Mytilus edulis: one gene and its partners. Each later gene encodes a partner of the first gene's protein in a complex. Links are inferred from orthologs where the notes say so. Each region holds a gene or a part of one and is shown in the gene's direction. Other genes may lie near its edges.

What was found.
Region 2: transcription termination factor 2-like (region 1) and splicing factor C9orf78 homolog share a complex: the UniProt entries of both Homo sapiens proteins name them as parts of the spliceosome. The link is inferred for Mytilus edulis from reciprocal best matches to the Homo sapiens genes TTF2 and C9orf78.
Region 3: transcription termination factor 2-like (region 1) and nuclear inhibitor of protein phosphatase 1-like share a complex: the UniProt entries of both Homo sapiens proteins name them as parts of the spliceosome. The link is inferred for Mytilus edulis from reciprocal best matches to the Homo sapiens genes TTF2 and PPP1R8.

What each region holds. Positions count from the first base shown.
Region 1 is NC_092353.1:33,963,528-33,974,221, reverse strand, and holds the start of transcription termination factor 2-like, read left to right. Parts: upstream 1-6,521; 5' UTR 6,522-6,578; coding exon 6,579-6,621; intron 6,622-8,460; coding exon 8,461-8,560; intron 8,561-8,831; coding exon 8,832-8,918; intron 8,919-10,534; coding exon 10,535-10,601; intron 10,602-10,694. Other genes in the region: piggyBac transposable element-derived protein 4-like, read left to right, coding at 23-204, 1,045-1,391; NADH dehydrogenase [ubiquinone] 1 beta subcomplex subunit 4-like, read right to left, coding at 3,267-3,338, 4,488-4,631, 6,064-6,222. UniProt on the Homo sapiens protein: DsDNA-dependent ATPase which acts as a transcription termination factor by coupling ATP hydrolysis with removal of RNA polymerase II from the DNA template. May contribute to mitotic transcription repression. May also be involved in pre-mRNA splicing.
Region 2 is NC_092345.1:81,921,961-81,931,988, forward strand, and holds the start of splicing factor C9orf78 homolog, read left to right. Parts: upstream 1-5,512; 5' UTR 5,513-5,587; coding exon 5,588-5,685; intron 5,686-10,028. UniProt on the Homo sapiens protein: Plays a role in pre-mRNA splicing by promoting usage of the upstream 3'-splice site at alternative NAGNAG splice sites; these are sites featuring alternative acceptor motifs separated by only a few nucleotides. May also modulate exon inclusion events.
Region 3 is NC_092344.1:126,235,158-126,245,813, forward strand, and holds the start of nuclear inhibitor of protein phosphatase 1-like, read left to right. Parts: upstream 1-5,800; 5' UTR 5,801-5,859; coding exon 5,860-5,927; intron 5,928-9,675; coding exon 9,676-9,736; intron 9,737-10,656. UniProt on the Homo sapiens protein: Inhibitor subunit of the major nuclear protein phosphatase-1 (PP-1). It has RNA-binding activity but does not cleave RNA and may target PP-1 to RNA-associated substrates. May also be involved in pre-mRNA splicing.

The sequences.
Region 1 (10,694 bases):
CTAAATGTTTATAAATTTGTAGCATGATTAACACAACAAACAGTAGAGGAAGAGATTTGGCCATTCCATCCGCTGTTAAACGTTATAACTTTACAATGGGTGGAGTAGATCTAGGGGATCAACTTCTCTTACAGTTTGAGCCAAATTTTAAAAGCGTGAAAATGTGGAGAAAACTACTTTTCCATCAACTAGTTACTGCTGCAGGTAAAAGATAAATTGCAAGTTTAGAATATATAAATGTTTGTCGAAAGACATTGACATATTTCTTTATAAAATAAGGAGAATATTGATTGACAATGAGAAAACTATCAACAAAAGTCATATGAAATGGATCGATTCAAATTTTTATATATCGAAATGGATTAAAAGATAATAGAAAAGCTACATATAAACTTGTATAGTTGTTACAGCAGATTTCAGTGAGTATGTAGCTAAAGGTAATCTCTTTGGTTACCTTGCTTGTTAGCTGAACCGTGAAGTCATTGTTAGGTTAGCTAAACTTCCCTCCTTTAATAGTAGACTTGCCCAACAGAAAACCAATCTATCTCACTGTGGGACTAAGCTACTTTAAAAGGATGGTAGTATAACTTACCTAACAATAACTTCACGGTTCAGCTAACAAGCAAGCTATTACCATTAGCTACATACTGACTGAAATCTGCTGTAAAGACATCACATAACCTGTATAGTTGTTCAAGAAGTGAAATAACCCTAATATATATTTATCAGTAACTGGCCTTCTCTTTCATATATTTTTTCACCTGGATTTTTTTTTTTCGAAATGCATTTATTTATTCGTGATTATTTCAATTCCTAAATGCGTGTATACAAGAACAAAGGTTAGACACATTGTCATATGCTGAAATATTTTTTTGAAATGTTTTTTCTATCATTTTTCTTTATATTTTTTGCGTATTTGACATGTATCTTAATCGAACAAGCCTAAATTCATTTTGTATTCAATTTTGTTTTCTTCTTTTGATTTACTCGTGGAAGACATTGGTACGTATATTAATATGTATTATTTTTATTCTTCGTTTTCAGTTAATGCCTTCATCTGTTACAAAAGAACTTTTGTTGTTGAAACAAAACTAGACCATTTAAAGTTCCAACAGCAATTATGTCAGGATTTGATAGGAAATCATAGAGATGGAAGTAGAAACCAACAAATAAGAACAGTCAGGCTGGAGCATCGACAGTTGGGCAGAATAACTGAGAGGCATTTCCCAGAAAGAATACCAGATGGTAAACGGAAGAAATGTGTGGTGTGTGCTGGGACAGACAGATTCAAGAAATCCCGTATTCAGTGGTGGTGTAGAATTTGCAAAGTTGGACTCTGCGTCGGCAGGTGTTTTAAAAGATATCACACCAGAATCAACTTTGAGGAATGAGAATACAACTTTTAAATGTTGAAAGTTTTTGTCTTATAGATCAGCATGCAATAAAATCTTTTTAATTCTTTCATAATTGTTTTTATAATTTTTTTTATAATACAATGATTGGCAACTTCATGATGAAATGTTTGATTTTAAAGGCTTCTCACCATAACAATAAAAAAACAGTAAAATTCTGCTCTTTGTAAATATAATATTTAATGTTCCATATGCGTGCCATGTCCCATGTGTGGTCTAATTATTCCATTAACGTTAACAAAGTGCATGTGCGTGTACGTCGCATGTTGACGTTACGTTACGTATAGTTTATAGTAACGTCATTCACATATGTATGGCAACGTAACGTTGTAACAAAACAACGTCCCGGCGCTGAAAGGGTTAAAGGTTGAAACAGTGAAATAAAGCAAAATTTTATAAAATAAGCATACGAGACACCCACTTTCCGAATGAATGTCTTTATGTCAGTGCAAAAGCTCAATTTGAGCTCATTTTTAATTGTTACTAATATTTGTTGCCATATTGTTTGACCAAATAAATCAGACAGAACTCCGTCATTACACTATCATACTATACATATAAGTAAACTTTCTTCCACATTTGAATCAGCAGTTTTCATCCCATATTTTTTTCATATTTTTCATATACATTTTGTACTGCAATTTAAAACTTGTGGCCACATTGTTAGGCTGTAAATTTTCAGTTTCAACATTATGTGAGAATTTCACACCAGTATTTTTGCCATATCAGGTTTCAAATGGTTGAGAATTTCTCAAGTTTATTCTTCTTATTTCCTATAAATCAAGTGATTGGCTTATTTAGCATCATGGTTCCATACATTATATGATTAAAATGGATATAAAAATAAACCCGCAAATTTGTAATTAAAAGATTTGCGGAAGTTCCAAATGTTTGTGACAGTTGGACTACAGAATACAATGATGGTAAACTAAAGATTGACATGAAGTCAAATGACCTGTGTTTCTCTGCCTTCATTTTTTTTTACATGAATAAGGTTCTAGATATTAGATCTAATTCCATTTATGAATTCATCCAGCTTTTAACCAGATAACAAGACATCACACCTTGTCTGCATTACTGATCATGATTGAATATGATTGATTGATTAATTGATGGTTACATAACATCCAGTGGCAAATGTTCAAGACAAGATATGTATCAAGTCTTTAAGACAAAAAATTAACTATGAACTATGAAAGGTAGTGATAAACTTTTGAAGATTTAGATATCAAGTCAGTACCTTAGGGTTTTGATTGCATTCAATGCAATCCTTACCCAAAAATATAAATACTCATCCCTCACAGCCTAATGTGTAGTTAAAGCCAGGAAGATGTTATATGATAGATTTAAAATACACTGTAAAGTTTCAATTTCTAGTGACCAAAAAGGTGGTTGCACCATACCTTAAGTATCACAAACATCAATTATAGTAAATAGTAAAATGGTAAAATAGCAAGCTTTGAGGAAAATACAAGAAAAAAATCCCTCAAATGGCAAAATAAAAAGTTCAAGCTCTTCAAACAAATGATAAACAACTGTCATATTCTTGACTTAGTACAGGCATTTCCTTTTGTAGAAAATGGTTAGTTGTGTACACCTGGTTTTATAGGAGTATTGGTGAAACATCAATAAACTGGTAGATTAACTTGTATAAGCTTAACAATTACAGAAAGATGGATAAACAATACTCAATTGATACCAATTCCACTAACATGAAGGCAGAATAAAACAAACAAAAACACATCTTGTTTTGAGAGTTGTATCTCATTCCATACATGTCATACAAACAATCAACTTCAATAAGTGTCATAAACAAAAATCTAATGAAGAATATTTACTGTCAAATTTACAAAGTTAATACACATATTTCCAAGTCCTATCTTTTGCTGGTATTTCTCCTGCCCTGCATTTTCTTTCAAATTCTTGCTGCAAGGATAAAAAAATATATTTTTATATGACAAAGAATGCATGGTATAATCAAAGCAGTCAATTACGGTTAACTGGGATCAGTTGTTGGCTGTCCCATTTACATTTCTTGTCCTATTTTCCCCCATGTTTTACTGAGTATTAGTCCATCACTGAAGATCATCTGAGGAAACCAGATATCTTGGTCATATCTACTGAGATTAATTAATGTTGTTTGATCATATATCTTATTTTATCAGAGATTTTATAATCATATTATTCATATTTCATAATAATCATTTATAATTTTCTCAAGGTATAAAAACAAACAAGTTGAGTCAAATCAGGTGCTTAATATTGTTCATCTGTCAGTTCAGAATATTTGTAAATTTGTGTTTACAATCTCATCACTCTCATGTCAGTATACCAGAAGACAATAAATTATGATTGAATCTACTGTATTTATATTTAATGCCACATGGACATTTAGGGATACATGATTTATTTAGAAGCTAATTTTAGCTTTGAACTAGCTCTCAGTAACTACTAGCACTCTCAAATCTGCACTTTATATCTCTAGTGTCTTTAAGTCAGTTGACGAATGAGTTGTTGTTTATACTTTGCGTCAATGTTATGAATCAAGCCATTTCCAATTGGTTTTCAGAGTTTGTTCAAACATTGTGCTATTAATATATAAGTACTGTGATTGTACCACTGTCCCTGGTAAGAGGAGGGTTAAATGCTGCCACATGCATATTCCATGTGTCTGTTAAAAGTCAGGAGCCTGTAATTGATTCAGTGGTTGTCTTTGCCTGCTGTTTGTCACATTTGTTTTTGTTTGTTGTTTATTTATTCATTTTTAAAATTGTTTAACATAAAGATTAGGGCCTTTTATATAGAACTAAAAAGATTGGGTTTTTGTTCATTGTTTAAGGCTGTATGTAGACCTTTAGTTGCTTATACAATTTTAAAAATCCTCTTCATTTAGATAGTTGTCTCATCAACAAGCATGCATCTACTTATGTTATAAAGTTGTTTTTGTTTACTTCAAATTTAAAGAATTATCAGTTCTCATTATTAGTTAAAATCGAGAAAAAGAGTCTTATATTTTCACAATAATAAAAGTAGCAGACTAATCACTTAGCAGAAAGAATAATTTTTGATACATACCCTTGTGTAATAAACATAACTAAATAACACTGCAGGAATAACTCCTAGAAATAAACCACCAACTAATCCAGTTTTCTTTGTTGGACGAAAATGATCATACTGTGTCGCTTTCAATGCTTTAAACCTCTGTATTGCTGGATCAAACTGAAATTACAATATGGGATTTTTTGTTGATTATGATTTTGTAATTTTCAATACTAAATAAATACAATTAAAATGCAGCTGAATTCTTCCATTCTGTTATGGGGAATCTCAATAATTAACGACAAGAAGAATAATCTAGCAAAGGGAGACTTACTTAGCGACAAGAAAACAAATTTCGTCAATTTTCTTGACAAGAAGTCTAAATATAAATTAGTCACTCAAATAGATATTAAACATTAAATTGAAACATGCATCAATGTGTGTGTGTTTTTTAATATATTTACATTATTTTATTATGCTTAATATAGAGCACGATAAACATTTGATTGTTACAAAAATAATCAGATTAATACATGCATGAAAAGTGTGTAATGGTGTATAAAAAACTATCTGAAAATTCACTATAAGACGTAGTGATACATGTACACGATAGTTACAACAACATTTAAAAATTTATAAATACAACACATAATCAAGTATGGGCTTTGCTCATTGTTGAAGGCCGTACAGTGACCTATAGTTGTTAATTTCTGTGTCATTTTGGTCTCTTGTGGAGAGTTGTCTGATTGGCAATCATACATGTACCACATCTTCTTTTTTATATATATAATTCATTGATCATGTTGACCTTTTTCGATAAATATATTGTTTATAGAGATTTTTTTCATGCCAATAAAGTTGTCTTTTTGTCACTATTTTATTGTACTTGTCACCAAAAAATATTTTATTGAAACCATGTCTGACATGCATGTATACATGTTGAAATATAATAAAGTGTTTTTTTCCAATTTTAATTTATTAAAAAAATGTATATAATAAGAATATGACATTAATGTACAAACATCACCAAGGGGAAAAGCAACTCAATACACCTTATCGCTATTTGTTCGCCATTACTGGACATCACACAGGTTCCTGTAAATGTTGACGTCATAATACAAAATTCTAGATCAAAATTCAGACCCACAATAGAAAAGTGATTGTTGTATGACGTCACTAGTCCAAGTGGGACAGATTCTCTGGTCAGCCGGTAATAGCGATAAGGTGTATCTGATAGCGCACTCCCCAATATTATAAAAATAAAACAAGGGGAGAAAACTGGATACAAGTTTAAATCTGAGGGTTGTTACTTGTAATGGGGGCTAAGGGGTTACCTTCATAACCAATTAAAAATGATATAAATTCTTGACAAATGTACCTTGTGTTGTATTTAGGTATTTAGAATGAAAAAAAAATCTGAGACAAGTGGATGCGATTCCTATCCTCAAATATACATTTGAAAGATAATTTTTTGCAATGTGTTTATATATATATGTTTATTTGTCCAATTTGGCATTTTGTTTTGCTAGTCCGAAACTATTTTAACAAATGCATGATCTTCAAAAGTTTAGTACAATATATTGCAAACAGGAATAGTTATCTATGAACATACTGGGAATTCTGCTTTGAACGGATCAGTGACCTTCCTTTGCCATTCAGCTTTTAGAGCAGCTCTTTGCTCTGATCGCCGCCGTATAGCGTCCATTTCAGCATGGCTTAAATCATACAGTTTATGTGGATCCCATAATTGGACCCGTTTCCTTTCTGTCATCTCTAAATACTTAAATAGGTTAAACTTCTACTTTAGAGAAAAAACATTACAGCTGAAAAGTAAAACCGGAAGTAAACCTAACAATTGTGATTGAATAAAGGCAAGGTTATACCAATTGGTCAAAACTAATGAACACAAATGTTCTAATATTGATGTGGAATAAGATACTAATTCATCATGGCCATGAGAACATACTAGTTTGGCATATTTTTGTTAGTTTTAAAGTGGATGTTTTTATTTCTGTGCAATAATAATATCTCTACGTACTTCACGGCTCTACCTTTTATTCTTCAAAGTCTCGCGGATATTCGCGGGATTTATAAAATTTGCAGTTTTTCAAATTGAAAGTAGACCTAATGAGTAATCTGAAAATGGAGGAAATAAAATGCACAGAACATAGTATGGTTATGTTTGAAGTGTCTCAGAAATTTTTTAAGTCTTGAATAATACACAAAGTACTTAAACACCATTTATTTTCAGACAAAGGTGCCTGCAGAGCCAGTGACAAATACTTGTGAAATAGAAAATAAAAAAAAACCATGAACACAAATTATGATGGAACATAACTTGTTAAAACAAAATATAAAAATTCTAAATGGTATATTGTAATGTACATTGTGACGTCACAATTACTTTGAAAAATTATGCAGGACTGCCAAATTATTAACTCTTGGACAATAGACAACTTTCGTGTTCGATGCATTTCCGTTAAAAACTTTGGTTTTAGTAAACTTCATTCGTGTGTTATAGGGTATCGTCACTTCCATTCCAATGTTGAACGAGTGGTTGGAAAACTATAAAGCTATATTGCGTGAATTATTTGACAAATTGAATTCTCATAATTTTCTTTCAGCACTGCTGTCATTAGGAAATATTAAGTACCTACAGAACAAATCTTATTTTTAGTTTATCCTGCACAATGACGATCACTAAGAAGCTTGATAAATGTTTATAGTGCAGGGATACAGGCGATCCCCTCTATCTGGTAAATGACGCCATAAAGGCGTGCATAATTGACGAGTTTTCTCCGGTGACAGACAAACTTGGAAGTGATCTATTTATACTGAATACACCATAACACTATAATTTCAGTATTTGGAAGTCTGTCCCGCTTGACCCTGGAATTTGTCCCACTTGAAATGTTGATGTTATCATGGTCATACAACAATCACTTTTCCATTGTGGCATCAGATATATTCAATTATGATGTCAAAATTTTTTACGTGAACTTTTATGATGTCCAGTAGTGGCGGACATATAGCAATTGGGGGGGGGGACACGTACATTTATATGCGCGAAAATTTCTATTGATCATGTTGATCTATTGTTTTATCTCTATGATCTTTACTTCAACATGTTCAAAGGCTAAATCTCTTGCATTTTCTTCTTGATAACTGACAATACTGAAAATGCATATGACATTCATAAAACATGATCTGAAATAAAGTATGTTTTGATTTTGAGTTGTCAAACTTTATATGAATCAGATGTGTCTAGATTGCTTCCTTTGATCATGTTGATCTATTGTTTTATCTCTTTAATCTTTGCTTCAAAGATCTACTCCCAGTGGAGACAATGTGATTTTCTGGTAAGCAATATGCTATCCAGTTACACAGATAAAGAACATTGAGGGAAATCATCATGATCATATGTACACCTTGACAGATTTAACAATCTGAAGTAATCTGCAGATGTTTGCCAATTGTCATTTTGATATATCATATACAAATTAATGGGAAGTGATCTGTAAGGATAATGGAAATCCTGAAAAAAAACCTTTAGTTTGGTTGTTGCCATATCCTTCTGCTTCTTCCTGGTAAAAAATCCTATATTCAAACAGTGCTCTCCCCAGGTCCTTTCTTGAATGTGATGCTTTCTTAATTGATTTTCTTATAGATCTTGTTATAGACATATGATGGATGTGAGGCTATAATTTTTTAAATAAAAACATAGCATTTCAAATTTTGAATAAAACAAAAAAACGTCTTTGCATATTGTCTAGCAACACAGAAAATCTAACTTGGTAAAATTAATTTTAAATGTTGGCAGTAATAATAATTAAAACTATGTTCATCATCGTTTTTTTTCCTTTTTAATATCAGAGCAAAAAAATAAATATAATATACATCAATAAACGACAACCACTCACTGAATCACAGACTCATGACTTGCGACAGGCACATACAGAATTTACAATCAAGTGCATTATTCATTTTGTTAAATTTATACATATTTCAGAACAACTTTGCTATTTGAAGACTGGAACTAAAGCTGGACCTAACTATGGAGTTAGTTTCTATGTGTGTCCTCTATCATGTGGATTTTTCAAACAAACACAGTATGTATAAATAAAGGATTAGAAAGCAGTCAATTATTTAGGATTTAGTAAAATGTCAACCAGACCATGAAATAATTTTATGTTTGCTAATGTAGTAACATTTGCTTTTCATAGAACATCTAGATACATCAATATTTAATATAATGATGAGGTAAATTATGATCCAGATAAAGATTTTATTTTATTTCAGTACATTTTGAGACAATATAATGGTGCCAAATGATGTTTATTTATATTATTATCACAGTAAATTATTTCCAATTCATTTCAGAATTTCTTCCACAAAGTGTCCTCAGCATCCAGATGAGATTGTAGATTTACAGGCAATATTTTTTGGCAAGAGTTCTGGTGAAAAAAGGTATATTGGAAATTTAAAAAATTATAGTACTGTAAATTCATTATTGTTCGTTGGATACCAATTTTCGTGGATTTCGTGGTTACAGATAAACCCTGAAATTAAATGTTCAACGAATGACAAATTTTCTATAAGCTTGTATGCAGACCTTGGCAGAACCACGAAATGAAATATCCACAAACATTCAAGTGTTCCTTTATCCACGAAAATTGGTAGCCACGAAAATAAATGAATCTACAGTATACTATATAGGTATGTTGTTTTTCTACTTTGGTATGAATACATAGAGATTTGGGGAAAACAACACAATCAAGCGTAAAAAAAACTCTGGATGCATTATTATTAACCTGTACTAATTTATCATATGCCCTATAAGTAAATTACATTTGTAGTTCTAATTTAAAATGGTAGAAATGTTAAAAAAATTGGAAAGAGTTTTGAATGTAAATTGAAATGAAAATTTGAGGTCATCTTATTTTTTTAGAAACATAGATCTAATATTTTTTGGGGCAACAAACAAAAAATAATCTACAGAAATTGACAATATTTAAAAACCACATTATCTATATCAAATATTGTCAGGAAATAGAAATAGAAGTGATCAGAAGTCGTTCTTCTTTTATGCAATTTCACAAATAGTGTCAAATTTGATTAACACGTTGTAAAGAATTGCGCTAATATTAACGTACCTTTTTGCGGTACGGCCACTATCTTTGTGACGTCGCGTAATTGTAATACTTTATGTTGTATTGAATAGAAACGTATAATGGCAGACGTAGTTCTATCTTTAACGCCTTATTTAACTTACGATCAAATACACAACGCAACGCAATAGATAGACTTGTAAAAGTGTTAAACTATTCAGACGTGAACAGTTAAAAAATATTGAGAGACTTTAACTATAATTTTATTTCATTTATGTCACAATTGATCAGACATTTAATTTCAAATTTACGAATTTTTCATATTGTATTTCAAATTTGAGTTAAATATCATTTTCTGCGGCCCCAGAATGTAAAGAATTGCGCTAATATTAACGTACCTTTTTGCGGTACGGCCACTATCTTTGTGACGTCGCGTAATTGTAATACTTTATGTTGTATTGAATAGAAATGTATAATGGCAGACGTAGTTCTATCTTTAACGCCTTAGTTAACTTACGATCAAATACACAACGCAACGCAATAATCTACACACGTATACTGAGTAATATCTGATTAAATTATTCCCCTATCTACATTGACCACATCTGCAAAAGCTGTTTACCTTGGAGAATCAATAAGCCTATTCGTTTTTTTAAATGTTTCATTTAAGAAAAGGATAGATTTTTTTTTAGAGCAAGTACATTTTCTGAAAAAAATGATAAAGTTTAATGTTTCTTTTTGATGTAACATGTATCAAAAGTGAAGGTCCAAGATGACAGCCACTTAATATCCCAGGTGAATGCTTTCTCTACCTTAAGATATTTTAAGTTTAAAAAAAAAAAGGAAATTAGTTAGAGATTAAGTGTCACACAGAATGGTAAATGTCTCTTATCTAACCCTTATACATTGTACATTTTAAATGTGCTATAATGATTCAGTGGTGAGAATAGTTTGTAATCTATTATGTATTTTAAGGAGATACCACAGGTGTCATGGAAGAATTGCTGGACAGTCTTGGTGTGGCCATAACTCAGAGAAAAAGGTAAATTATAAATGTTAAAATCAAGTCTTGACATATTTTTTTCTATTTATTATCAAATATTTATATTAATAGTACATGTATTACCGAAGAATC
Region 2 (10,028 bases), on another chromosome or scaffold:
TAAACTAAACACAAACTCATAAGTCGAAATAAACTGGCATTTCATGACCAAAAAAATCCAAATATAAACGGAAGACAAACAGTATCCTAAACAAGACGTAGAAAACAAAACACAGAACAAAATTTTCCCAACCACTCACCAAGGCGATCTCTCGTGTTCCGGAAGGATAAGTAGAACTTGCTCTAAATATGGTAGTCATGTCGAAATGTTAGTGAAAGGGGAGAGAACATCAAAACCTCACTCAGTGTAGTGTTAGGCCTTCAGTGATAAAAAACGAGTTCCAAGATAACATCTACAGAAAGTCGTGTCACCTTACAGAAAAACACATTATGTATAGCATTACTCAAATATTCAGTCTCATTGCAATTAGATTTTTGCAAGAAGAACACTTAGAATTTGATGATAGTTGATGAACAAGTAAAGATAACTTTTTTTGTGACAGCGGATAGGATTGTTGCGAATCGTTTGGTAGAAATTGACAAAAAAAGTTTCCAGTATATTATATATTAAATATTATTATAACAACTTTCTGATTTTGTATCAGCGAATATAAAGAGGCTCTAAAGAGCCTGGGTCGCTCACCTTGGTCTATGAGCATATTGAACAAAGGGCACAGATGGATTCATGACAAAATTGTGTTTTGGTATTGGTGATGTGTTTGTAGATCTTACTTTACTGAACATTCTTGCTGCTTACAATTATCTCAATCTATAATGAACTTGGCCCAGTAGATACAGTGGAAAATATTTTGTAAAAATTCACAAAATTTTGAAAGTTGTTAAAAATAGACTATAAAGGGCAATAACTCCTTAAGGGGTCAATTGATCAATTTGGTCATGTTGACGTATTTTTAGGTCTTACATTGCTGTATACAGTTTATCTCTATCTATAATAATATTCAAAATAATTACCAAAAGCTGCAAAACAAGTTTCTCAAAATTGCCATTTCAGAGACAGCAACCTAACAACGGGTTGTCCGATTCATCTGAAAATTTCCTGGCAGATAGATCTTTACCTAATGATCAATTTTATCCTGTCAGATTTGCTCTAAATGCTTTGTTTTCAGAGATATGGGCCAAAAACTGCATTTTACCCTATGTACTATATTTAGCAATGTCGGCCATCTTGGTTCGCGGGCGGGGTCATCGAATACACTTTAAAATAAGATACCCTAATGATGATTGTGGACAAGATTGGTGAAATTTGTCTTAGTAGTTTCAGAGAAGAAGATTTTTGTAAATAGTTATCACAGGTACCAGGATTATAATTTAGTACGCCAGATGCGCGTTTTGTCTTCATAAGACTCATCAGTGACGCTCATATCAAAATATTTATAAAGCCAAATTAGTACAAAGTTGAAGAGCACAGACGATAGAAAATTCCAAAGATTTACAAAAATTCCAAAAAGTTGTGCCAAATAAGGCTAAGGTAATCTATGCCTGGGATAAGAAAATCCTTAGTTGTTCGAAAACCAGGATTACAATTTAGTACGTCAGACGCGCGTTTTGTCTTCATAAGACTAATCATTCTAATGCAACAAATTTGTAACATTCATTTTGATTGGATAACGTCACATATTTACATTGTCAATTGATGCTATGGGACGTACGCGCAAGCGGCTGCGCAGACGTCATATGGCAAACTTTAAATACATTTTTTAACGTTGTTTTCAGTCAGTTTCATTAGAATGGAGATAACAATATTGTCTAACGCGTCGCCAGTACACTTAATTTGCGACCATCAAATCCTCAATTGATGCCGTCGGAGCTTAAAATACAATACAGTTATCTCCTAATTCTAATGCAACAAATTTGTAACGTTCATTTTGATTGGATAACGTCACATATTTACACGCGTTTCATCTACATAAGACTCATCAGTGACGCTCATATCAAAATATCTACAAAGTCAAACTAGTACAAAGTTGAAGAGCATTGAGGATACAAAATTCCAAAGATTTACAAAAATTTACAAAAATTTACAAAAATTTACCAAAAAAATGTTAAAAATTGACTAAAGGGCAATAAATCCTTAAGGGGTCAGCTGACCATTTTGGTCATGTTGACTTATTTGTAGACCTTACTTTGCTGAACATTATTGCTGCAAACAGTTTATCTCTATCTATAATAATATTCAAGATAATAACCAAAAACGGCAAAGTTTTCTACAAATTCAGGGGCAGCAACATAACAACGGGTTGTCCGATTTGTCTGAAAATTTCAGGGCAGATAGATTTGACCTAATGAAATGCAAGATTTGCTCTAAATGCTTTGGTTACAGAGATATAAGACAAAATCTACAGTTTACCCCTATGTTCTATTTTGAGCCATGGCGGCCATCTTGGTTGGTTGGCCGGGTCACCGGACACATTTTTAAAACTAGATACCTCAATAATGAGTGTGGCCAAGTTTGGATAAATATGTCCCAGTAGTTTCAGAGAAGAAGATTTTTGTAAAAGTTAACGACGACGGACGACGGACGCCAAGTGATGATAAAAGCCAGGCCAGGTGAGATAAAAACATTTGTCGAAGCCGTTTATAGCTGACTATATGGTATTGGCATTTCTCATTGTCGACGACCGTATGGCAGGTAACCATAGGAATGCACTTCATTTAAGAACTCTGTTGGCTAGTTGTCTCAGGGGCAATCCTTTCACATATATCTTATTTCATACTAGAATAAGAAACAACTACGTTCAGATTTCATTTCAAATACACATACATGTACATGTATGGCTCATTCAAGATATAATAAAATGTGTCTTGAGTAATCAACAGAAAGCTCCAAACCAAACCACACAATAATTTCGATTAAATTAAAAATGTAATTTATCGATCAAGACACAGAGATCAATTTATCAAAATCTAATACACTGAATCGTTTGGGGTAAACAACCATCACAAATCAGAAAACACTTCATAATCTGATCTGTTGCTGTTTATATTCCAAATTAGAGTATTGATTGAGCTGAAAAAAGTATATATTTATAGTGTACTGTAACCAAAGGAGAAAGTGGTCAAAGTCTTCTACAGGAAATTAAAATATAAAAATATACAAACCTGATATTAAGAATCCATTCCAAATCCAATAGTATTGCTGTACCGGAAGTAGCTGAGTTTGTTATTTGCTTGCCAAAACGTGTTAAAGTTAATGTGATATTAAAGCCGTCTTTTGATGTAGTGTTGTATTTAATTATGTTTAGTGAGATGGTATATATACAACATTTTTAATCGATTTGGAATTGCCTTTATTTTTAAAATCATATTATCTTGAAATCGACATTTGCAGGTAATTTCTAAGTGGAATATCGATCTGACCGTTACCTGTGTAATATTGTCAAAGTCTAGCATGAATAATTCATTTGGGACAGTTTATATAATTCATCACAATTCCAATATTTGACATCTGCCTAGTAAATAACTCGACCTTTATCGGACAATACGTATATCAGTTATATATGTTGTTTTAAAACACATATTTGAAATAGTATTTTTTCTATATTGACAAAGTTGCTGTCAGTGATAGAATGATCTAGAATGGGTTTTCCCAAACATCGCATTTGTCATGTCATAAACAACATATCAAATAATTATAAGTGTTTTGGAGTTTTGGAGTGTGTTTTTGTTTTACTTTTATGAATTGCATTTGACTAAGAAGATCTGACTGGAATATAACACTGTCTATTACTACAGTTTATGAACTAAAACCATATAGAATCGTCTGACGGTCTGCTTCAATATTATAGACCATTATACGACAATTGGCGCAAACACATTATGGAATCTTGTTGATAAATAATGAGAATTGTATAAGTTTTGTTTTATGTATTGTCCATTTTGTCATTATGATTTTGTGGTTTCAAATTTAAAATCCAAACCTTAACTTCATATAGAAACAGTTTATTTCTGGATTTGTGTCAGCTATTTTCTTCCTATTAATGCTCTAGATTTAAAGCTAACCGAATTGACATTTTAGCAGTAACCTTTTCATCTGCTGTTGCATATCATAATTTTTAAGCGAATATTATAGAACAATTCAGATAAATCTGTACTGAGTATTCAGCTAAGATTATGAAAACTTTACATATATAAGCGGTAACAGGCATGTTATAGACTAGCTAGCTCTACGTACACCAGCAATGCCCACGCCACACTAGTCGAACAGGACAAAAAACAACTACGAAATATAAGTTCTCCAGCAAGGAAATGATAGTAATGCCATCGTATTGTTCAGGAGAATTTTTGTTAAAGTTTATGTTAAATAGACTCAATGTAGATAACTGATTGGACAGTCAAGCTTCAAACATTTTAAATGCTCTGACAAAAGCAAAATGATTTTCACGAAACTTCAAAGGTTTTAATTCCTTCGCAATAAATGTTTGTAAGCCCATAACCTGGGATAAAACTTTAAAACACACTAATCTATACAAATCAGTTCAATATGACATCGAAGATCCGTAAAAAACACTATGCAAGTGAAAATAAAAACAACATACATGAATTACCGAATTAAGAGTACTCGCCTTCACTGGAGCCGGTCAAGTTCAAATCTCTAGTTCAAATAATAAATAAACATCTGGTGTTCCCCCAAGGAACAGTTAATGCCCTATTCTGTTCCGTGTGTATATATCAAACACGAGAACACTTGAGTTTTTTTTTTTGGGGGGGGGGGGGGGGGGTAGATCACACCATAATTTGCAAATCAATACGAAAATAAAAAGACCGTTAGATTCACTGCCAGATTTGCCCATGTCATTCCATCCAGAGAAGTGTTCGGTCATTGAGATAACAACCAAGAAAACCCCATTAGAATTCAACTATACCCTTCAGCAACATTTGCTGCAAAAAGAAATATCCACAAATGATCTTGGCTAAACAATCCTTACTGAGCCCAACCTAAAATGGAACGCATCCGTGATCTTCTACAAAATCATAGATCATATTGTAGTCATATACCCGACAGATCTACTTAGTACGCAATCTGACACAATAAAATGTCAACATTCACACATGTATACCAATATCTGTTCTCAACAAACATCTAAACACTTAAATATGATCTATAGTAAAAAAAAAACAGAAGAAAAGGGAACTTTATGCATCGGTTGGAATTTTTATTTCATTTTGTATATATTTAACTGTAAATAGAAATTAGATCCCACGCACCCGCTGGCTTGTGGTATTAGTGCCCGGGCACCTTATCATCAGTATATTGGTGGTGTGCTGAAATATAAAGAAGAAGAATAAATTAAGTGTCGTCGATCACGAGCAATCATGCACGGTATCTAAACCATGTTATAATATTGTAAAAAAAATATAGAATAATCTGTTGATATTTGCCGCTGGTCGATAAATAACCACCATATTTTAATAATAACTATGCATTGACCTTCATTTATCTATATATCATTATTTTTCGTGAAAAATTCCTAAATATTAATTCAGAAAAAATACAATATTCGGAATAAAACCGTGTCCGATCCCATCCGTACAACTTTTATTGTGTTACATCGATTACCTCCCTTGTTAAAAACTAATAATGTTCGTATTTTTTTGCCAAGAAAGTTGACCTAAGTAAAGAAAGATAGATGGAGGTTTTTAAGAAGAAAAAATGTAGAGCAATCAGAAAAAGACGTCACTCATCAGAGAGCGATGACAATTCGAACGAGGATGCAGATGACATTGAGTAAATAATTAGTTCATAACAAATGGACAAAAAAATTTTGTTGGTGAATTTTTAGTCCGAGATTACTCTGACGTCCAACGGCTGTTTTGCCAGACAAGCTGGGGCCGTGGGACGTCAGAGCTCGTCCCATATCAAAAAGTGGATATTTGCCCACCCAAAATAGATGCGCTGCTTCGTTTTTGGTGCCGACTGACGGCCTTGGAATTATATAAATCGGGCAGCAATCTGTTCATTTTTCATTTATCTTTTCATTTATGTAAGTTTCACCTACCTGCCAACTTTCATTTTTCCATATTTTAACAGTTTTCACAGAGACCCATCGATTTCTGAATTTTGACTTTCACTAGTCTTTAGTCTTTAGTAAGTGTCCCAAATGACACTGTAAACACTTGTGTACGTTTCCTCTTTTGTAGTTTCTTCACATATGTAATGTTCACTCATGTACTTAATTGAAATTGTGGCTGCTGCTTAAAAAATTTTGACTTAATTTTGATATAGATTTATAGTGTTTTTTGCTGTATAGTGTTTTTGAATCTACCAGACTCCTTTAAATAATTTTCCAGATGGCACAATATCTCATTTCGATTGTCTCTATTAATTTCTTCTTCATCGATTCCTAATAAGGTGTCTAAATCCATGTGTATATTTCCTGTAATGAAGTAAATAGATGTTCTCATCCTCTCTCTAGCCTCCTCATAGTTAGAACAATGTAAAAGGTAGTGTTCTACAGTTTCTGGCTCTCCACAGGAACAGTTTTTGTCTGATGATGGTATAATTTTGGATTTATAATCATTTAGATCACAATAACCTGTTCTCAAACTAGAAGTAATTGAAAACGACCATTTGGATGGTAAATCTTTTGGTATTTTCTGACAGACTTTTTGATGATAGTTGTAATAATTTCTGCCACGTTGACTTGATTCCCATTGGTTTTGCCATTTTCTTAAAACACTTTCTCTTGCTGCACGTTTTATATCCTGCCTGGTTACTTCTGATGGTTCTTCTATTTTTTCAGCTTCTTTAGCTCCTTTTTTGGCCAGTGAATCAGCAATGTCATTTCCTTGGATATCAGCATGACCAGGTGTCCATTCAAAATTTAATGGAATTCCATTCATCTTTAATACTTTCATGTTTTTCTTAATTTCTCTTATGACTTTGATGTAATTCTCTGATTTCCAGTTTAAAGTTAAAATTCCAATTGAGGTCTGACTATCTGAAAAAAGTGTAATTGAGTCTGTGTTTTGTCTGTTTTCTGATATTAAAAAGTGGTCAACAACAAGTTTAATGGCGATCAGTTCTCCTAGTAGTATTGATCCTTTTTTGGATACAGCTTTACTAATTTCAATTTGTGGTTGATTATTTGATGGAAAGATGACAGCACCTGCTCCTACAGGGCCAGGACTACCAAGACAGGACCCATCAGTAAATGCTATACATGAATTTGCTGGAAGATGACTTAGTTTTTCCATTATTATGTGTTTTCCAACATTTTTTTGGTCTGTTAATCTTGATTTGGAATTTCCAAGGTTTTTCCAATAATCTGGAGGAGATTTATATCTTTGTATCCCATTAAACTGAAATTCTGCTTCTATACCATTTACATCAACACCTGTACATACCTTCATGTCTTCTGCCTGAAGAATCATTTTTCCCACTGGAGATACATATTTTTCAGGGATGTCAATTGTTTTCCAATCATCCAGGATTTGTTTTATTGGAATGGAGATATCATACGAAATAATTTTTGCAAGTGTACGAGTTGCAATTTCTTCTCTACGCAGATGTATTGGTAGGATTCCAGAAACTACTTCCAAAGTCTCTACACTTGATGTTGGGGTAACATTAAGGCATATAGCTAATCCCTTTCGTTGAATTTTGTTCAGTTTGTCTGTTATATTGGTTTCACAGGTCTGCCAAACACTACTTGCATATTCTAAGGTGGAAAGGACAATACTTTGGTAAATTTGAAGTAGAATTTTTGTAGAAATTTTTGCAACTCCTTTGATCATTCTAAGTAGGCTAATTGCTTTATGTGCCTTTTGTTCTACATTTTCGATGTGTTTGAGAAATAATAGTTTTTCATCTAACGTGACTCCTAATATTTTTGGATTACAGTTATATTTTAACAATTTACCTTCTAGTTGTAAATTCATTTTCTTTATTGGACCATTCCTTGAAAAGATACAATATTCTGTTTTCTCAATACTTAAATTAATTCTCCATTTTTTGGTCCAATCCTGGATTATGTTAAGATCCTTTTGTACCTGTTTCTCCATGTCATTCAAGTTCTTTCCATTTATCCATACATTACCATCATCAGCAAATTTGCACTTTTTACATGATAGGTTAGCAAAAATGTCTTTGATAAAGATATTAAAAAGAAGTGGAGCTATAACTGATCCTTGTGGGAGACCTATTTTGGTTTCAAACCAGCTTCCTTTATGGTTGTTAATCACACACCTTGCTTGTCTTTCCTTTAAAAAATTGTTAATCCAATTCCAGATGTTACCTTTAACACCGTTATCATAAAGTTTTGTTAGAAGTCCTTCCCTCCAAACACTGTTGTATGCTTTTTCAAGATCAATAAAGACTGCTAATATAAATTCGTTGTTATTGAAGGCATTAAAGATGTTTTGAGTTAAACTTAACAAGGCATTTTCAGTAGAGCGATAGTGGCGAAACCCTTCTTGTTCTGGATCCAATATGGAGTTGGTCTCTATATAACCTTCTAGTCTAGATGTTACTACTCTTTCCATAACTTTACCCAGTATACTTGTGAGACTAATTGGACGATATGAAGAAGGGTTATTATATGTTGACTTTCCCATTTTCCTTATAAATTTAACATTTGCTAGTTTCCAAGGTTTTGGAAGTTTTCCTTCTTCCCAAGATTTGTTAAACACATATGACAACACACTGTATAAGCTTTCATCTGCCTTCATTAATAATTCTGAAAAAATTTGATCAGGTCCAGGTGCTTTGTCATTTTTTAAACGTTGAATGGCACCTATTAGTTCATCTGGATCTATTGGTTCATTGTATTCTTTTTCTTCCATTTCCTGGTCAAACATTTCTTCACTGATGTTCTAATACTTCTTCATGATCTCTTCATAATGGGTTTGATCAAAGCTGCTTGTTTTCAGATGATTTCCTTTAAAGTATGTTTTCTCAAGTTCTTCACATTTCAATTGTTCATTGAACAGCACCTTTCCATCACAATCTATAAAGGGTAAAACAATATTATTTGTTGTTTTCTTTGTCATTTTTTTGAAGGCATTCCATCTGTCTTTGGCTGTACGAGCATTTGTTAATTTTTCACCTAAATGTTCCCCCCATTCTTCTTGGGCCTTTTCTGTAATCTCTTGAAACTCTGATTCAGCATTTTTCAAAATTTGAAAATTTTCCGGTGTACATGTACTTCTAGACTTAAATCGTCTTTGGGCTTGATTAAGTTTTCTTTTAAAGTCCTTAACTTCCTCATTCCACCAAACTGGATGTCTATGGGAGATCAGTTTTCTTTTTGCAATCTTAGGTATTGCATCTTCCATACATTTTTCAAATTCAATTTCAAACCGTCTATATAAGTCGTCTGTTTTTTCACGATTGACATATTCAAATGATGAAAAAATTTGCTTTGTTGTATTTTTCCATTTATTCCAATCAATTTTCTTTAAATTCCAGATTTCTTCTGTTGTTTGATTGTCCTCAATCTTTTCCTCCGATTTTACATCTAAATATACAGCAATATGGTCAGATTTAATTGATTCATGTGTCAATGTTATACAATCTTTAACTTCATTATATATGTTTTCTGAAATAATTGCTAGGTCAATTACACTTTGACTGTTTCTTCTTGTATATTGTCCATCATTTACACAAATTAAATAATTTTCTGTCATGCATTCTTCTAGTATTAGCCCATGACTATTATCTTTGACATTATTCCATTCAAGGCTCTTTGCATTGAAATCACCAAGCAAGATCAAGTTTTTTAATTTTGATAATTTCACAGCATCACATAAACTTTTCATTAGAACAGCTTTTTCTGGAGGTACATACGGCACCCACAAATTAAAGATTTTATTAGATCTGTCTTGAATTTCCAAACAGACCATTTCAATTGTATCAAGTTCATATTCTGATTTCCTCTTGCAAACAAAATTTAGATTTGGTTTAATTAAAATTGCTGAACCGCCTCTGGCTTGGCCTTTTCGAGGGGTGGAATATACTTTCCAGTCTTTGTAAGTTACCGGTGTTGAAGCAGTTTCAAATGTTTCATTCAAACACAGAATATCTATATTATATTTTTTCATAACTTTCAAATGGACGTCAAGTTACGAGAG
Region 3 (10,656 bases), on another chromosome or scaffold:
AAATTTTTAATTAATGTTTTTTCTACCGAATGAGTCCAGATTGCATCCAGATCTTGTCGTTTGTGAACCATCTTCAAGTTTGTCGGAAACGTTCCGGGATAGTCCCGTTATTAATATGATATTCGGCAATGATACCATGTCAGAGTTCCGATAATTACAGAACACAATGCGACTGGGCCCAGATAAAGTCGTTTGCAATGCGGTAGAGCGGACCGTGGTAGTATTACGTTCCGACAGTACATGATCATTTCGATTATGCCGACAGTTTTCTAACAAATTTAATCCGTCAGAGTCGGTTCACTGTCTGGCCACTGTCTGATCTCTGTTGAAATTACATTTGGTAAAATCGGGACGCAGTTATGACAGATTCGGCCGATTTTTACTATGCGAAAGATACAAATCGGATTAGAATCGTATTGAGAACGTCATTATCGGGACAAATTCGCTTAGAAACATTGGAATATCGATGCTAGCTGAACAGTATCTGATTGTTGTCGTGATTAATTTTAATTTTTATTTTAATTTAAGTTGAATTTCCATCAACGATTCACAGGATCTTGATCACACTTTATACAAATTTTAATCGGGAATGGTCCTGTCAAGGACGGCAGTAAAAATCGCGAATGTGTGACCCCAGCTTAACAGCAGAAAATCTTAGAATATAATTTATCGGTACTAACATTGAATTTGTTTTTGAAAATCAGAACATAACTATATATGCATCACTATATGCATAATTATGAGAACTCGTGAGATCATACATCCTCTCGAAACTGTTTACTCATATTTTAGCTATAAACATGCGTTTATATGACGTGAGTTAATCAGTAAGCACAAGTATTCTTATTTCGGCATTAGATGTACATGCACCTCGTACCAATACTCTGAATAAAGCCGATTGAAACTGATTTGTACAGGTTTTTAAAAATTATTTTGTGCACTTGTGCTCTTACACTTAGTATAATGTCCCAGTTTAGGGAAAGAGTTGAGGGCTCACATATATAACCCCGCATTCTGTTTATCGAGCACCTAGGGCTGCTTTGATGTTACTTTCGTTTGAGCGAACATGGACCAACATCGGCATTTGAAATAGCCCTAATTGTGAAAAGTAACCTCTAGTTATTGAAGTTTTATTGGTTTTCATATTTTTTTGAAACTTTATTTCATCTGGAATATATCTGTTTTATATATCATTTCATCTGGTATAACGTTGAAATACATAGTCTTCAACAGAAAAATTTCCGTAAGATGTGCGCTGGTTAAAACATTTGAATTTTAGCTTTAGATGACTGATAATTTTATGGTCTGCTATTTAGACAAAGTTTACAGATACAAATTTGAAATATCATACTCAAAAGGGTCGCTGATGCCATGTCGAATACCTTAAAACGAAAAGGATTTGTGACGTTTTTGGCACCGATTTGTACAGTTATTATTTGTAAAAGAGCAACAACTCGACTTTGGTTAAAGGTATGATACATTTAGAGAAAACTTATTTAGTAGGATATTAAGATTGTTCTGATTCTACGGAACATACGAAGGCATGTATTAATTATGCAGATTTTGGATTTTCATTTCTCACGATGGAGAAAATTGAAGACAATTTTGCAAACGATATATTGTCAGATGGTTGAATGAAAACAAATATACGGCTGATGTGAAATATTTCTTAAATTTTAGAAGATAAAGATAAGAGAAGATAAAGATAAATGATAGTTTATAAAAGTATCACATATTGATCTACAATAAAATTACAAACCAAAATCATAAAAAAAAGGATCAATACCCAGCCTATAAAGACTTACGAGACACTGTATACAAACAAAGGCTATTTCAGTTATACTGAAGGAAAATGTTTATAAAAAATAAAATCTGGTATGAATGCAAACCATGCCACGGTTCAAATCAATAAATGAAAAAAACATGTATGACAACAACCAACGAGATACCTCATTTTCCTATATTAAAAAAAAACACACACAAGTAATATTATTATTCTCATGATTCAATCCACAGGCAACTGTCTCAGAATTTTTTTTCCTATATACATTAATATATCATTAAGGTACCAATAGGGAAACAAAATTGGAGACAAGTGCCTGTGATTAAATCACATGTAAAAGCCTAATTTAGGTAAATTACAGGTGAAATCGCGAAAACGTAATACCATTTCTTAGAGCAAATGTAAGGCTTGTCATTTTCAAATTCGCTAAAAGTAGGTCGCTCATAATCAGAGGTTTGATATAATGCGTGATATACTTGTAGTATACTTATTTCAATTGAGAATTATTTTTTAGCGAATTTTAACATTTGAAACAAAAATAGTACTTTCAAACTTTAGGGAAGATCTCTTGAAAATAGAATACTCTACCAGAAGTCATTATTATAATGTATAAATCAAAACATGACCTGACACCAACATATTTATCCAATCGTATTGTGACTACAAATAGTAACAATCGTACAATACTTTTATTAGCAGATAATTGTATTTTCCCTAAATTAAATACAAAATAATTATACAAATCAAGTTTTTCCGGCTTTTCTTTTCATAAAACTTAGTGTGGAATTCACTATCCATTGAAATTAGTAAATAAAGTATATCTGCAATCAATTACTCTTACAAGTCTTTTTCTAAAGTGTAAAATTTATAAGCTACGCCACAATGTATACCGTATAGGTGGGTTTTTTTTTTGTTTTTTTTTGTTTGTTTGTTTTTGTTTGTTTTTGTGTTTTATTATTGTTATATATATTTGTGTTAATATACATCTATTGTTTATATGTGTGTAATAAGGTTATAAGATTAATTATGTTTACTTAATTTTGTTCATGTAGTTGCTATTGTATGTAGAGAGCCTTATTGAAAATTGGTTTAATGCAAACTTGATGAGTTACTCTCTTTAAAAAAGATATTATTATTATGTCACCCTGACGGAGGTCGGGTGACATATTGTTATTGTTCCAAATTTTTATTTTTTTTAAATTTTTTTTATTATTAATAATGATTATTATTTCACTCTTTTTGTCCAGACTATTTCTCGGAATTGTATGGACCAATGATGATTGATGGAACTTTATCATAATGTTAACCCCCATGTGTAGATGTGCAATCGGGGGCTGGCACTTTAAAGATGGCTGCCGTTGTCATGGAAATCGAAACTTGTGAATGTGAAAAATCGGAAAGTCTTCCAAACTGATTGAAGCGTTGTGGAATAAAATTATAATTATTATCTGTCTGTATTGGTACCTGTATGTGTACGTTGAAGACACAAATTCTGACTTTTACTCAACGGGAGAGAAAGACACCTATTAACGGTGTTGGTGAGCAGCCTTGAAGCTCTCAACTGTATCTGCGCATACAATACGGTCTTCCAGTTGGTTCCAGTGTAGTATGCTCTTGACAAAGATAGAGTTCTTATATGGATCGGTGCTGCTAGGAATAGTTTCTAGTGCCTTTAGAATTGTTCTTCACTGAATTTGTCACTATATTGGCACTTACAAAATTGTCAAATGTTTTGGGTTTGATTTTCCTCTTAGGTTTACTTTTAACAAGAAAATCGTCGGGATTAAGAGCTGAGACCAACACCTCAACCACTTTGTACAGAAATACCAGCCGCTGACTTGTTCTTCTCGTTTGTAGGTTGTCTAGTTCCAACTCGGCTAGTATTTTGGTTACCGACCCCTCTTCTCTAAACCTATAGTCGCCTGTAATGAATCTAGCTGCTCTGCATTGTATACTTTCAATTGATTTATATCATGCTGTGTATATGGTATCATATTATGGCACCATATTCCATAGTTGATCGTACTAATGATACATATGCGGTCATTTTGCAATCTTTTGGGCAGAAGTGTAGATTTCTTCTTAGAAAGCCGAGTGTGTAATTGGCTTTCTTGGCTACATTTGAGATATGCGTGGTCCATTTTATGTCTTCTGATATTTGTAAGCCTAGGTATGGGTTGCGTTGGACTTGTTGTAGTACATGTCCGTCTAGGCTGTACATCATCTGGCTTTTGTTCTTGATACTAAGTATATAGCACTTCTTTGCATTGAAGCGAATGCCCCAGTTTTTGGTCCATACTTCTAGGTTTTGGAGGTCTCGCTGTAGGAGTGTGTTGTCATGTTGACTATTTCTGTTCCTGTACAGGAGGCAGTCATCTGCGAAAAGTCTTCACAGAAGATTGTACTGAATCTGGAAGGTCGTTAATGTGGCAGAGGAAGAGAAGGGGTCCTAGTTCTGTACCTTGTGTTACACCGGAGTCAACTGAAGCTTCTTCTGATTCCTCCCCATCTACGACAGCTTTCATTTTCCTTTGGGTTAGGAACATCTCCAACCATTTGTTTAGTGGTCCTCTTATACCGTATTCATTCATTTTGTGCAGCAGTTTGTAGTGTGGCACAGTGTCAAATGCTTTGGAAATGTCCAGGATATCTACATCAATTTGTTTCCTGCGTCAAAGGCTTTCATGAAGTCATGTAGTGTGACTAGCAGTTGGGTTGCACAGGAATAGCCTGACCTGAAGCTATGGTTTAGTGATGTAAGTACTCTGTGCTTCTCTAGATGATTATTTTTTTTAAAGTATATGTCTACAGATAATATGTTCCAGTAGCTTGCATGGTACAGATGTTAGTGATACTGGTCTGTAGTTTTCTGGTGCATGTTTATCTCCCTTTTTGAAGACACTTGATATATTTACGTTTAGCCAGTCTCTTGGTAGTGTACCAGTGTTGATGGATTTTGGGAATATCATTGTAAGTCCAGGTGCTAGTTGTTTTGAGCATTCTTTCAATATACGGTTTGGTATGCCGTCTGGTCCTGATGCCTTGGATGTATTTATTTTTTTTCAGCAGCTTTTCGACTTCATCTGGTCTTATGTCTAAAGGCAGTATTGTGCTTTTTATATGCTTTGATGTTGTCGGCAGAGTTTTGTCTTTGGTTTTCTTTGCCTGTTGATATAGCCTTGTTTTCTTTTAAAACATTTTCCTGATTTTATGATTGATCCAGGGTAGACTGGTTTTAGATTGGATGAGTTTTGATGGTATATGGTTGTCAAGGTTCGAAAAAAGGTCTGTCTTGAACTTGTCCCATAATTCCTGTACTGTGGCGCCTGTATGGTACATTTCAATGGTGTTGGTTGAAAGGATATATATAGTCAGGTCTTTGTGTAGATCTTCCCATTTTGCTTTGGAGTATATGTAGCATTTGCGTGGCTTCTTACTCTGATAATGTGGTTTTATGTCGCAGTCTGTTACAATCATATCGTGGTCAGATTTTCCTGGAGCATTAGAAGATGTTTTGATAAGTGACGGGTTTGAAGTGAAGTTAGTCAGCACTATGTCCAGTAAGTTATTGCTTCTTGTTGGTGTTTCGTGTATCTGTGTTAGTGAGTGTGATATGATAACTTCCATTAGAGCTCTTTGGATTTCCTTGTCTTGTGCATTTTGGTTTGCGGACATGGTGTTCCAGTTTATGTCTGGGCAGTTGAAATCTCCAGTTGGTATGATGGTTTGATTTTTGTTTGAAATATGGTCTAATGATTTATCTAATTCCTTTATAAATGTGTTCCATGTTCCGGTGTCAGTGGCATATAGAATGAGCCTTATTATTATTATTATTATTATTATTATTATTATTATTATTATTATTATTATTATTATTATTATTATTATTATTATTATTATTATTATTATTATTATTATTATTATTATTATTATTATTTCCGCAATATAGTTAAATTGGGGCGGGTTGATAAGAGTGGGACGATTTTTTTAAAAAGAGGGGCGAGTTGGTGAAAAAGCGGAGCTGGTGTGGGTCGATTTTCCAATGGGGCGAGTTGATCACAGCTTACTATAAAAACATGGCGAAGAATCAACACATCCAACAGAATGAAGGCCCGCTGGTCAATAATTTCGAAGTACCGTCATGGTGTGTAACTAATAACGTATTTGAAATTGTGACTGAAACATATGTTATTCATTATTTATGCATATAAATTTAATTTTGACAGTGCATAACATAAAGAGGCCAAACCGAGTGTCTGTAATTCACTGTTTATTCAGTCTCGGGCATTTCTCTTTGTAATTATATACTTTTTTTAAAGGTTCATCATAACAAACGGACAAATATGGCTGTATTTACATTCCAAAAATTACTCTGAGTACAGACTTACCTGTAAAGTTTGAAAAGTTTTAATGCCTAGCATCCATTAGATATAATAAAGTTAAATGCATTTTGTGTTTCAGAAAGATAAAATCTCTTTTGGATTTTGATAGGCATTTTTTTTCCTTCATGCAAAAGGTTTGAAAATTGACCAAGTTGTGGTACAACTATGAGATGCTCCCTCAGGTAAAAAAACGGTTTGTATTGTTTTCACTGTCCTTAATTGACATGGACACCAGTAGTCCGATTACTCTGACGTCCAACGGCTGTTTTGCCAGACAAGCTGGGGCCGTGGGACGTCAGAGCTCGTCCCATATCAAAACGTGTATATTTGCCCACCCAAAATAGATGCGCTGCTTCGTTGCTTCTGGTGCCGACTGACGGCCTTGGAATTATATAAATCGGGCATCAATCTGTTCATTTTTCATTTATCTCTTCATTTATGTTAGCTGCGGAACCGTAGCTCTTATGTCCTTATGTTATTTTTTGACTATTTGCGGACCATAGAGCTACAGATTTTTCCTATTACAAAATGTTCGGAATTGCGACCCAGGTTCAGGTCGCACTTATTTCTCAAAAAAAATATTGTTTATAATCCATGCAAAACTTGTCAATATATATAGTTCGTTTCGTTAGATATTTTTCTAGGATATGACGTACCTATTTATGTTTGAATATTCATTTCCTTAACACTATTATCTAATTATTTCCATTTGTATACATTCTCCGCCTATTTTATTCGGTCATATTGAATCTCTCCGTGACTAGGACACCAGGTATCTTCACAACTTTGGGTGAGTTAAAGAGTTTATCTGAGTCAGTGAGTGGACAGTATCAAAGTAATTCAGGTGTTTGTTTATATTTGCACCTTCTGCAGAAAGGAAAAAAAAATGCCCATCAAAAACCAAGAAAGATTTTATCTTTTTTAAACACAAAATGCATTTAACTTTTATATATCTAGTGGATGCTAGGCATTAAAACTTTCCAAACAGCACAGGTAAGTCTGAACACAGAGTAGTTTTTGAGGTGAAAATACGGCCATATTTGTCCATTTGTTATGATGAACCTTAATTACACTGGTCACTTTTTCTGATATAATTATGTTTCGTCTGAAATGTGAAGCTACTCATAAACATTTGACAAAAATAGTTGTGTTAAGTGTTTACACAATATACATGTACTACTCTGTACAAACAAACCTTAAAACTGAGAAACCACATCTACTTACAGTAACCTGTTTGGTCTACAACTGGGGCTTGTATCATAGTGTAGTGACTTAAGTATACTAATAGATATATAAGAGTGTCGCTGAGTACTCTAAGGTTGAGAGTTACAAGGGTCTGTGTACAGCACCAAATTCCAGGCTCCTACCATCAGGAAACACGTCTGTTAGCTTGGACGTCTATATTAACTCTAAGGGAACTCCTGACCATTGGGAGCTCTCTTGACTAATGCATATTGTGTTTGATTGTACGTAACCGGCGTACTCTACAATAGATGCATTTAGTCTGGAATATGTCAACTGGTATGCATTCTAGACTACATGTTCAAGTCAAAAGTCGCCCAGGTAACACTATATTTAACAATCTGATCTACAGTACATGTACATCTATATGTTGACCTAGTACAAATAATTATGACGTCTTGTAAGGCTATTGTAATTTTTTTCTTTGACGCCTTACTTCGAAGTAAGAAGAAAAAAATTATAATAGCCTTTCAAGACGTCATAATTATTTAGACTATATGTTGACCATGTGATGTTATAGATTTAAATCAGGTTACTGCATCCCAAACTGTGGAACATGTATACAATTCTAGTTTTGATAAAATGCAATCATCACTGATCATAGGATTGAACGTTGATTTCAATTTAGACTTGTATGTATCTATATATAGCTACATTTTGTACATTAATTACCTATATTGTTCTTGACAGTGATCGGTTTTTTTTACCAACCACAAGCATAATGCCAAAAATCTTCAACAAGTCATGTGTAAAAAATGTAAAAAAATGCGAGTTCAAATTATTGGGATTACATGCAATGACATGTATTACCCTGTCACATTTTTTGCATTAATAAAAGCATCGCAATAATTTCTGAATTTACTGAAATGTTTCTGTTAATATATTTAGCTTTTGTTGTAAATTTGAAATTTTGAAATGAAAAGTAATACAGTCCTAATTTTAGAGAAAATGTTCCATTATCTGTTTTCACAGATTGTTGTCTCATATATTATGAGGAATATTAATTTTTGTCGAGCCTGCAACTTTTGTTGCAGAAAGCTCAACATAGGGATAGTGATCCGGCGTTGGCGGCGGCGTTGGCTAACTTTTTAAAAGCTTTATATTTTAGAAGGTGGAAGACCTGGATGCTTCATACTTTGTATATACATATAGATGCCTCATGTTACGAAATTTCCATCAGTCACATGTCAAATGTCCTTGGCCTCATTTTCATGGTTCAGTGACCACTTGAAAAAAATGTCAAATGTCCTTGACCTTATTTTCATGGTTCAGTGACCACTTGAAAAAAAAGTTCAGATTTTTTGTAATGTTGAATTCTCTCTTATTATAAGTAATAGGATAATTATATTAGGTATGTGCGTACCTTGCAAGGTCCTCATGCCCGTCAGACAGTTTTCACTTGACCTCAACCTCATTTCATGGATCAGTGAACAAGGTTAAGTTTTGGTGGTCAAGTCCATATCTCAGATACTATAAGCAATAGGGCTAGTATATTCGGTGTATGGAAGGACTGTAAGGTGTACATGTCCAACTGGCAGGTGTCATCTGACCTTGACCTCATTTTCATGGTTCAGTGGTTATAGTTAAGTTTTTGTGTTTTGGTCTGTTTTTCTCATACTTTTTGCAATAGATCTACTATATTTGTTGTATGGAATGATTGTAAGGTGTACATGTCTAGTGAGCAGATGTCATCTGACTTTGACCTCATTTTCATGGTTGAGTGGTCAAAGTTAAGTTTTTTAGTTTTGGTCTTTATATCTAATACTATATGCCATAGGTCAACTATATTTGGTGTATGGAAATATTTTATGATCTATATGTCAGCCGCGCAGGTTTTATTTGACCTCAACCTCATTTTCACGGTTCATTGCTCAGTGTTAAGTTTTTGTGTTTTGGTCTATTTTTCTATAAGTAATAGGTCAACTATATTTGTTGTATGGAAGCATTGTTATTTGTACATATCTGCCTGGCATGGTTCATCTGACCTTGACCTCATTTTCATGGTTCATTGGTCTTTGTTTAGTTATCTTGATTAATGTTAAGTTTATGTGACAGTTTTTAATAAAGCTTTATACTTTAATAGGACTATCATCATAATATCAATGATTAGTAAATAAGGCGAGACATTTCAGCGTGTGCACTCTTGTCTTATCATCTTATGATTCACTAATTATATATGACATCTTCTGCTGAATTCAGAATCATAATAAAAAAATAGATATAATTTGCTGATTAACATGACATGTATGATATGGGATATACTTTTAGGGCAGGCAAACCACCACCAGGCCTCCATTTGGATGTTGTCAAAGAAAACAAAATGGTTCAGGTAAGCTAGATTTTACTATTATGAACTAAAAAGAATTAAAAAAAACCTTAATTTTAAGGATGAGAGCATTAAAGTTTGTCATCACTGAGATTATTATCCTATCCCTAACCCATTTAACCCTAACCCTATATAGATATCAAAATTTTATATTCTGAAACTTCAGGAATAATATAGAAAGGCAGTGCCTCAATGCCATTCATGGTCAAAATGATGGTATCAGGTAATAGACATTTTGTATCTATATACTAGGGGACATAATTATAACTATGTCACCATTGTAATCCAGATAAGAGGAATTCTATCTCCTTCTTGGTGATATACTGTGTTTTATATTTTAATTTATTGACATTGTAAATTAAGGAATCAAACAGTGTTATTTTTAAGTTTTCAAAATTACTACTTATCACATGGATACTCATCTTGATGGTAGGGCCACAATTAAAAATATTTCAGTTTTCCCAAACCCGACCCATGATGACTATATAGTTTGTGGGTAGGTAGGTAGGCAAATCCTTTTTTTTTACCAGAATTTGCATGAAAATATTAAAACATTATATCTTTTTATTCTGTCAAACCTTTGAAGAGCAATGAATTTAAAGACATGTTCAAAAAAATATTTCTGACAAAAGTCAGATTTCTCTTGTCAAAAGGGATTTATATCTATATTGCAATAAATTATTCAGAAGGACGTACATTCAGTTTAGATTATATATCTGATTCTGTCAAATGAGCATTTTATCAAATCTCCTAACAGCAACGTACTGATCTTGTCAACTGAAACATGTAAATTTGAACTATTTGAATAAAAGGGCATCTAATTCACAGGATAAAGGAAGATTATAATTAAAGACAACAATTTATCAAGAAATAGTTCCTTTTTATTTGGTAAAAACAAAATCTTCTTGCAAGATTGTAAATTT